Schizosaccharomyces pombe: one gene and its partner. The gene in region 1 interacts genetically with each later gene. Each region holds a gene or a part of one and is shown on either strand. Other genes may lie near its edges.

Evidence for each region.
Region 2: of alp11 (region 1) and alp1, extra expression of one rescues a mutant of the other (dosage rescue), as found in Schizosaccharomyces pombe (2 studies listed by BioGRID).

What each region holds. Positions count from the first base shown.
Region 1 is NC_003424.3:2,251,366-2,254,973, forward strand, and holds alp11 (tubulin-specific chaperone cofactor B), read left to right. Parts: upstream 1-2,017; 5' UTR 2,018-2,102; coding exon 2,103-2,807; 3' UTR 2,808-3,075; downstream 3,076-3,608. Other genes in the region: ubiquitin ligase Btb3, read right to left, coding at 135-1,405, 1,456-1,547, 1,616-1,824; ribonuclease H2 complex subunit Rnh201, read left to right, coding at 3,223-3,608. UniProt on the Schizosaccharomyces pombe protein: Required for microtubule function and cell polarity. Involved in the proper folding of alpha-tubulin.
Region 2 is NC_003423.3:3,352,546-3,359,207, reverse strand, and holds alp1 (tubulin-specific chaperone cofactor D Alp1), read left to right. Parts: upstream 1-2,160; 5' UTR 2,161-2,482; coding exon 2,483-2,629; intron 2,630-2,673; coding exon 2,674-3,762; intron 3,763-3,806; coding exon 3,807-4,793; exon of another isoform or gene 4,794-4,832; coding exon 4,833-5,215; intron 5,216-5,263; coding exon 5,264-5,393; intron 5,394-5,439; coding exon 5,440-5,657; exon of another isoform or gene 5,658-5,699; coding exon 5,700-6,063; 3' UTR 6,064-6,162; downstream 6,163-6,662. Other genes in the region: knh1 (KRE9-like protein), read right to left, coding at 575-1,429; protein Ndc80, read right to left, coding at 6,394-6,662. UniProt on the Schizosaccharomyces pombe protein: Has a function in the folding of beta-tubulin. Microtubule-associated protein that is essential to direct polarized cell growth and to position the nucleus and septum to the center of the cell during mitosis.

The DNA of each region.
Region 1 (3,608 bases):
ACTAAAAGTATCCCGTTACTTTATTTTGCAATGCGCAAACTGAGATAAAGCCTTTTCTATGAATTTGAATTTTAATAATGATTAATTTAAACAGTTGAAGTGTTCAAGAAATATTATTTTTTCTACCATTGCCATTAAGCTTGTAGCTCCAGTTTATCTAGTAAATCGTCAATCATCTCCATTTTTTGATTATATTCGCTTTCATAAGGTGTTAATGTATCTACAACTCCATCAATGCACAAATCCTCATGGTAAATGCCAAAACGTTTTGAGAGGAAATAACGAATATCATCAATGAGTTCGATCGTGTCTGTTTCTTGTCTCTGTAAAATTCGATCAGCACTTTCTTTGACTAATTCACAGAATTCAGGATCGTCAATCAAGTGCTCCAAATGATTTGCCATATATTCGGAAGCGTATTGCTCCAGGCGAGGCGTAGACGTATCCCAAGCTGTTCGTAGAATATCGTAAATACTATCTATAGGCTCTTCTTGTTTAGTAATAACTATAGAAGCTAAAGATTTCAAGCTTCTATCTTTATCTAACGACAACATGTCTGCAACGTAAACTACATCTAAAGCTAATTCCGGCGCTATATCAGTTTTGTCGGTATATAAAAACTTCAATACAATTTCAACAACAGAACTTGAAAAAGGTAAAGACAAAACCGGTAGTTCTTGATTGCTTTCCAAAAATGGTCCTGCTAACATGTCCAAAAAATATTCACATCTGCACATGATGGCACGATGGACGGGATAGCGGTGTGTATAAGATTGCAAGTAAGCATCGTGAAACGAATACTGATCGGAAGGTTGGTTAAGAGATTCAATGGGTACTTTGTAGTTAGAGATTATATAATCCAAAAATTCTCCTAGATCATTTTGAGTTTTTGCCAACTGGATTTTCTTCCAATCTCTAGAGTGTAACTGCTCGCGATCTTTTTCATACAATGCGATAAAATCGTTTAACTGGAATTTTTTTCCAATACTCAGAAGAGCATTGTTATACTGTTTGGTGAAAACAGCATTTGTGTCTAAGTAGAGATATCGCAAAATTGATTCAAACTCTTTAGCAAAATGTTTGACTTCAATTTCATGTTCACTGGGTCCCAATTTCGAAAATTTTGATTTAAAATATGAACTTCTGGCAGCTAAATAGAATTTATGAGCAAAAACCCTACCATATTGACCGGCAAAGACTATGTCAGTAGTAAAATGTAAAGCCGAGTTCGACAACAAGGAAGTTATGTGACTAGCATAAGGTTGGGACTCATCAATGGCTTTAGTAATATCATAAGAAAGAAGCATACGGCGAATATTATCATTAAGGGCACCATACAAACATCTTTCTCCTTGAAAAGTATCTCGTTCGCATAAAGCACCATTTTCAAGAAGAAATTTTACAACTTAAGCGTGAGAAAATATAATAATTGAGAGCAAAACATTCATAGCATACCTGGTTCATGCCCGCAAAGACTCGCAAGGACTAAAGGCGAGTAGTCAAATTGGTCTACTTGATTAATAGGTGTGTTATAGTTTTCGACCAAACTGGATTTTGAATTTAGCAATTGCAGTTAAAATTGTTTATCGATTCAATATTTTTAAATTGCACATACCTCTTGACAACTTCCAAATCTCCACGCCGACAAGCTTCACAAAGCTCAAGAAATTCTTGGGTATCATTTACTGTGAAAAGTGAGGAAGACAGCTTCTTCTCATCCATTGCCTTTGACCAAAGGTCATACTTGGAGAAAAGCTTTTTAGAATTTTCACCACCTTGCAATTCGACATGTGTTGTCCCTGTATTTTGATCTTGAGAAGCCATTTTAATAAATGAAGAACAATTAACAACCGATTAAAAGGTTATACTGAGCAAAGATTGCACTTATGTTCAACAGTATTATCGACTTAAAATTTAATTGATCATATGCGAAATGTAGTTGGTTAACGAGGGTTCTATGTAATTGTTCAAGTTCGATGTGATTTGTGAACGACTGACCAAGGCGGCGTCAGCATTTAACTACTACGTCTTCCACCACTTTATATATTCTTGTGTTTTCCGTTTTCATTAATCATATATCTTAAGTTAAAATTATTTGCTACATGAATGAGATAACTCTCTTTATTAAATCTTCCTCTGCAAATGCTGAACGAAGGATTAACCCACAATGGACTGTTAGTCAGCTTAAGACCAAATTAGTTCCTATCGTAGGGACACCAGAACAATACCAAAAACTTACGTATGAACCTGCTTCCAGTACAGTCCCTGGACACGTTTTCACTAGCGAAGAAGAGAATTTAGACCTAGGGGAATTCAAGCTTCAGCCTCTGGGGACTATAGTCGTTGAGGATACACGCCCTCCTCATTTGCGTCTAGACTTTGACGATCTTTCACAGGTTGATAAATATGTAATGCCTCGTGAACAGTATGAGAACAGGACAGATTCTGTCTATGCCTGGAAAAAAAGAAATCAGCTTGGACGATTCAATCCAGACTTTGAAGCAAGTAAAGCTTCTCGACAAGAATCTTTAAAACGTGAATTAGTCGACTTACAAAAAAATTTAAATTCTAGGTGCTGTGCAGCAGGAGAGAGATATGGAACTATTCGCTATATTGGACTAGTGCCTGAAATTAATAATGACAATCTGTGGGTTGGCGTCGAATTTGATGAACCAGTTGGGAAAAATGATGGGACAGTCAGCGGAAAGAGATACTTTAATGCGAAAAATAAACATGGATCCTTTCTTCGATCTTCTGAAGTTGAAGTAGGAGACTTCCCTCCAGAAGATATTTTAGAAGGTCTTTGATGTTGTTATTCGTTTTACAAGGTTCCATGTTAATGATTTCCTTTTTTTTTGTTAAATCTTGTATGCAGGCTTCGATTGCTAGGAGATGACTCGCTTAAGATAATGAACAATTTTCTAAAAAAATGAAAGTCTAAAAAGTAAATCATTTAGTTTAGTCATTTCTCAATTAAAATATTTTTACTCAATCAAAGAAAGCATTATAACTGTAATGAATTGTTTGTCTGGCTTTTCTTTTTTTTTTATTTACATCGTTTTACCGTAGTACCGCTAATTAAAACCACGAACGAAAGAAAACTGTGTTAGGCCTATTTGCGCATTCCTTCAACCCCTTTATTTATTTTTTTATTCAGTTTTTGAGCCAAATATTAGAAGTACTCTGATAATTCTTTAAAAGATACAAAGCAGCAATCTCAACATGAAAGATGATCACGATGCATGGGAACCAGAAGAACTAGTCAGTGACAATAACTCTTCAGAAAATGAGCTACAAGAAGACCAAAATTCTTCAATAACTTTTTTACCACCTTCAGTTAATAAATCGAATCCCGCAAAATCGAATTACTATCATTCAACAGTCACTGATGATATTTCCAAGAGTCAGCCATATCGATTAGGAGTAGATGAAGCTGGTAGAGGCCCTGTCTTAGGACCTATGGTATATGCTGTCGCTTACTGTCCAGTCGATTTCGATTTGACCAACTATGGGTTTGCTGACAGTAAAACTTTGGCCTCCTTAAAGCGAGAGGAACTTCTGAAATTAATTTGCAACAAATCTAACGAGCTAGGAAAAAACGTTGGATG
Region 2 (6,662 bases), on another chromosome or scaffold:
TTTTATTTAATGTTATGATTTAATTGAACATTACTTGTAATGCTTTTGCAATATTAACTTAGTGAATTTAGTAATTGATTCCGACTATTTGGGCGTTCTGGCATAGCACTGTCATCACACAATTTATTTATTTGTCGCGATTACTTAATTAAACAATGCGTTCAAACAAGTATAATTTACAAAATAAATTCTAAATAAAACCATAATTATTTATTAAATGTAGAAAATGATAACTAAAGAAAAGGGTTTAACCGAGAGTTCTTTTTGCCTAAATATGTAAAAGAACGAATGAAAAGGGAGAAAGGAAAGTAAAAATTGAACGAATGAAGAAATAACTCATGCACTTGAAGATGCTTTTACGTGAAATTAACTCCACAGAAACAGCATAATGGTAAATATGAAAAAAAACATGACTTTAGATAACAAATAACCAAAATATTTTGTTTTCTTTGACGAACGACTCAATGTATTTGAGCTAAAGGAAGCAGACAAAAATGCACACAGTAATATCCTAGTGTGCTAATGAAAAATCTAAATGACATGAAAGGCTTTGGCCTTAAAAAAAATTAACAATTTAGGAATATAACAACCCACGTTTGTGTTCACCTAAACGCATCCCACGTTTCGGAGCAGCTTGAGCCCAGCTGTCTCGTCTCCTTAAACCAGCAGTTGGAGTTGCGATTATAGTAGGCTTAGAGGCCGTACTAGCATAATTAGCATACAACGTATACATGTACGTTGGAGATGCAAAGACAGTCGAGGTGGCAATGGGAGGACCTGCAAACGTGGTAAATACGGAATAAGAGGAAGTTTCCCATAGCGGTTGTATGTCGGTCGTAGCAGCAGTAAAAGTAGAATCTGGTCGATTTTGAATAGGTCCTGTACGGAGAACACCGGTAGTTTGAGATAGATACCAATCTCGCATTGTACCTGTAGGCCATACACCAAGAAAAGTGCTAAAACCAGTAAGGGTAGGAACATAAGGATACACACCAAGAGCCATCAAAGACGCATAAATTTCGTAATTATCAAAAGTTCCTGTTAGACCATTAACAGTGAAAAAGTCAGTATAGTCATTAACTATACCACCAGCATATGTAGATTGTGCCCAAAGAAAGTAAAGACGTCCAGCTGGTCCAAAAACCTGAGAAATAGCGAAGGGTCCAGCTTGGGATATAGAAGAAGGACTAGGGGACGTATACAAGACTGCACAAGGTTGAGGAGCATCCATGCTACCACTACATATATAAAAAACTGTGTTGGTTATGTCCTCAAGAGGTATTCCCGTATTAGATTCTTCCCATGAAAACGAAATAGCGGTAAAATCCATACTATCTGTTGTCGCCGGAGTGACGAATCGAATTTGCGCACATACATAATGTATGTATGAGCAGACTAGCAATACTAGCATCAACATGGTGGTTTTCATTAAATTCGACGGCTTGAAGAGACTTTGCAAATTTAGTGGTAAGCGATATATATAAATCGTTGCTCTGACAACAGGGATGTATATCGAAACACCTTATTTGACATGTGTAAACAAATAATCGAGAAAAGTTGGTTTATTGTAAGCTAATAAAAGTGATTTTTTTATTTTTTTTTATTTTTTATTTCATGCAATAAATTTCGGCTTAACTCAAAAATATATATCACGAACAAGCTGGATATAGTTAACACTGAATATGTTTTAACCTGAAACCTCTAATTCAAATTCTCTTCAGTTTAGCAAGTACTTACAATTGCTCTGTAAATTTATGCCGACTAGTTTAAAGGCCAACATCTTGGGAAAATTATTGTAACGTTTGAGAATCTTTAAGTAAAGATCTATTTAAACGATACTGCTATACATTTGTAATATCAAATGCTAGTCTTGTACCAAAAGAATGAATAACATGCGAACTTACTGAATCTATGTCGTGAATATTATGTCTACTCTATGAAATAATTGCGTTAGAGCTGTCAATATATAGGCCCTTTACTACCAGATATGCTTACTGTCTGGCTGTATTCCTAATTCATTCGCAGAAATAATATATCATTTACAAATATCACAGTGGTTGCTCCAAAAGCATTCTTAATAACTGCTCACGTTTAGATTTGAGATTTGAAATATCAGTAGTGGGTACAGATTACACCACCACAATAATTTACCTTTTTATTATCCCACTTTTCATAATGTTTTTCAATATCAAAGCTTGTGAAATTTAATCGTTAATAAATCTTACAGGTCTAAAATTATTCAAACTTGTTTTATTTTCTTATTGGTATCATTTGCAACCTCATGAGTGACAAAGGAGGAAATTGTCCAAGGCAATACAGAAAATTAGGGACCAAGTTTTTTTTTTAGGACGAAAGAAATTCTAAAAGAAAGGAGATTAACATATTTTTTCGCTTTATTCGTTTTTCATAATTTATTCAACACGCGTTAATTGCTTAAAGTCGTTACAGTCAAAAATAATCATAGCATAAATTTTAAACAAAAATGGAAGAAGAAGAATCTTTAGAAGGAATTATTTCTATAGATGAGTCTTTGATAACCTCACGTTTATCGCAAATTCTCGATGATGTTTTAGACGATAGAAGTTCTTCACATTCTGTGGAAAAACTTAAAGACGTCGCTGTTAAATATGTATGTTTAAAAAGATATTGTGACCTTTCTAATTAAAATTCTAGTTGCAATTTTGTCAATTTCAGCCGACATTGCTCGATAAACTACTGAGTAAATACGTTCCAAACTTGGCTAGCTATTTACTGAAAGTGAAAAATATCGGAAAATGTAACTCAATTACCGTTATCCTTTACCAGTTTTGTAAAATAAGAGGATATAAAGCTGTTCGCGTCCTCTTTCCTGTTGGCGTTCAATATATTAAGGAATTATATACATTATTAAATGAATCATCAAATAATACCTGGCATTTTCACTACATAGTTTTACTGTGGCTTTCTCAAGCACTCAATACCCCATTCCCGTTAAATTCATTAGATGATTCCTTGGATGTGAAGAAGACCATTTACACTATAGCAATTAAATACTTAGAAAATTCGGGAATAGACAAAGAAGCTTCTTGTCTTGTTTTGTCCCGATTATTCTCTCGTGATGACGGTTTGGATTTACTTCTAGGCTTTCTACACCACTGTGAGAGTAGTTGGTTTAAGAGAAGTATCTTTTACAAAATTGGGTGTCTTTTTTCCTTATCTTCTTTTCTTAAAATTTGTCCGAGAAATGATTGTCTTCAAACAGTTGATGTTGCGTTTCAGTTTCTGAATGTAGCACGAGAAGATTTAGTTGGACAAGAAAATTCAGCGTTGAGGAAATTATTATGCAAATGTTATACAAGATTGGGAATTGTATTGCTGCCTGTAAATTCATCCCCTAATTGGAAATACTCGATCAGTAACCCAGATAGTTTCTTTCAATTACCTGATGACTCTAACGAAGAAGTACATATATATCTGGAGGTTATTGTTGATTTTTTATTGTCATCTGTAAGCGACATAGACAGTTTTGTACGCTGGTCTGCAGCCAAAGGGCTAGCCAAGATCATAAGTCGTTTGCCCTGGAATTTGGCTGAGCAAGTTATCGATGCCATTATTGAATTGATGACAGAAAATATGTTTTTAAACCCCATAGAAAACACTGTAAACATATCAATTACTTCTCCACTGGTTTGGCACGGAGCTATACTTTTCTTCGCAAAACTAGCAGGTGCAGGTTTAATTAAGTATAGTAAATGTTTACATATTCTTCCATTGATCGAAGTAGTAAGTACACTTTGTTTTCTTATATCATTCTAATCCTTATTTAGGGCTTATCATACGAAGTAAGATATGGAACTAGAGTAACAGGACAAAGCATCAGAGATGCCTCCTGTTATTTTGTTTGGTCATTTTATCATTGCTACTCTAAGTCAGCAATTGAAGGCTTACAAACGAATCTTATTTTATGTCTCTTACAAACGGTATTGTTTGACAATGAAATAAATGTGCGCAGAGCTGCAACTGCTGCTTTATTTGAGGTGATTGGCAGACACGCTTCTATTCCCGATGGGCTTTCTTTGATATCACATATTAACTATGTTTCTGTAACGGATATTTCAAATTGTTATGGTGACTTGTGTATGAAAGTAGCTCATTTTCCTCAGTTTCGTTCCTGTGTTTTCCAAAGACTATTTACAAACCTTCAGCACTGGGACGTGAAGGTACAGCAGCTTTCTGCTTTTTCCCTAAGACAACTTTCTATTAAATATCCCAAAGAGCTAAGCATCTATCTTCCTCCCATACTTGATTATTTGTCTGTTGGTAATGCAGATTTTATTTTTGGCTATACGATTGGATTGGCAAGTATTATAGGTGGATTTTTATCCATAAGCTTCCCGTTCGATATAAATCGTATCCATGATTTACTGTCGCACAAAAACCTACTGTCCTTAAAAAAATTTTCAAGGCAACAGCAAACAAAAATTATTTTGGGAATTTTAAAAGGAATTCAACAAATTTTTGCCAATGATATTCGTGTTGACAGAGCATTTTTCAGTGAAGCATTTTCTGTTATAATCGCTGCTATTGATTTACAGGAGGAAACAATCATAAAAGACATCAGTGACGCTTACAGTGTACTTGTTAAATTTGATGATATGGAAGAAACATTGGAGGTTCTTCTTGACTATATACGAAAATGCTCAACAAGTAAAGAAGCGAGAATTGTATACATTATTCTACAGAATTTACCGAATATAAGTTTTCGATACCAGAAAAAGATATGCAAGCTTTTATTGGATATTTATCCCCAACTCGTAAGTAAAGAATTTTTTCACCAATGTTAACATGAACAGCACTCAATAGACTATCAAGCACCTGTTGCGAATGCGCTTCAAAATATTATTCCCTTTACTTATGAAAAAACAGAAAGCATTGAAGAATTTGTCAAAGAATTACTTCAGGTTTGCTCCAATTATTTGACAGATACCCGAGGAGATGTTGGCTCATGGATTCGCAAACCTGCAATGAAGGCCATTTCCAGTCTATTAGTCAAAGATTCATCTGGAAAAAAATTAAGTGAAGATATAGTTTGGTGTTGTATTTCCTATATTATAAGGCAAACATTTGATAAAATTGATAGTTTGAGGGGTTTGGCATATCAAGCACTCGAACAAATCAGAGTACATTACCTAATCAGAAGATGCGAAGCTTTGACTAATATTATTAATCGTATTAGGTAAAATGAGTTTTCAATTAAAATTCTGCTATTAACCACTAGTTTCAGGAATAATCCAAATATGGATGGAGAGGTACTAAATGAACTGAATATATCTCTGCTAGAAATACCTAATTTAAGGCTTCAAGCTTTTTACGGAATTACAGTATTTACTGCCGATGGTTTTGGCAGTGACTTAGTAAGTTATCATATGCTTCGATGTCTTAATATACTAACTCTACTAGGCAGTTAAATGTTTTGAATTTTATCTAAGTTATGTTTACCAGTTAGAAGATTCGTTTAAAAAATCTAACTCTCGTTATGGTAAACGGGATCTTCTACAACTCTATATAGACATACTTTCTTCGGAGGATGAAATAGCTCGTTTCTATTTTCCAATCATGAAATCTTTCACATCTTTGTTAGCATATGGTTGTTTCACGGACTTTCAAAACGTTAAGGGGTATGTTTTTTTACATTTTGTTCAAAATACTAATGATATCAGCATGTCAAAAGCGATTTTTATTGTACAGAGAAGGGCTCTTACTTGTAAATCACCAGGGGGACTTTCTGCGATACTAGAGTTATATCGGACGCTTTTTCTTTCCAAAAATGAACTTTTGAGGCATCATGCTTTAAAATATACGGCAAACCTACTATTAAACCCGATTGAAAAAGTACGCTACCAAGCAGCCGACACTTTGCTCTATGCGAAGTCAATTGGTTTGCTAACTTTCCTCCCTAATGAATTAAACCAAAAACTACTGACTTTGGATTGGTTCGTACCAGTATCTCAAAACGCAACTTTTGTTAAACAGCTAAGGAATATAATACAGAAACAAATAGATAAACTGATAGCTGATCGATAATAAATTTTGAACTACTTTCAGCTTTTTAAATAGTCGTGTATATGATGTATAAAAACGTTAAAATCTGCAATCAATAAAATATCTGGTGAATAATCTCAAATTTTTAGCCAAAACAGTTCGTGCTTATGTAGTACTAAATTGATGTCCATAAAAGGAACACAACCAATAAAAATTACATTTGAAAATTGAGAGTTGAATTATTATTACCTTCATTAGAATTGTAATTAAAAAGTAAGAGATTAAAGCATAAAACACAAAAACACCATCGTGATAAAAAAATGTATTCATGAGCCGTGAATATAGTAGACAGCACAATACGATGAATAGAATTTACAGTTCCGAACGAGATAGGTCATCCAATTCCTTTTGGTAGTCCATCTTCAAATCCTCCAAACTGTCTTGAACGTGTAGCTTGAAATGTATTATTTCACCAAGCACAAATGCAACCTCTTTATATATATTGTTTTTGTACTCCATGCAAGCATGTGCAATTTGATCCGCTTCGATATTTATACTTTGTATACGCTGGTCTAATTGAAGCATGCTGTTATGCGAAGAAAGTTTGAGCTGTTGTAATTCTCTTTCTAACTTATCCGATT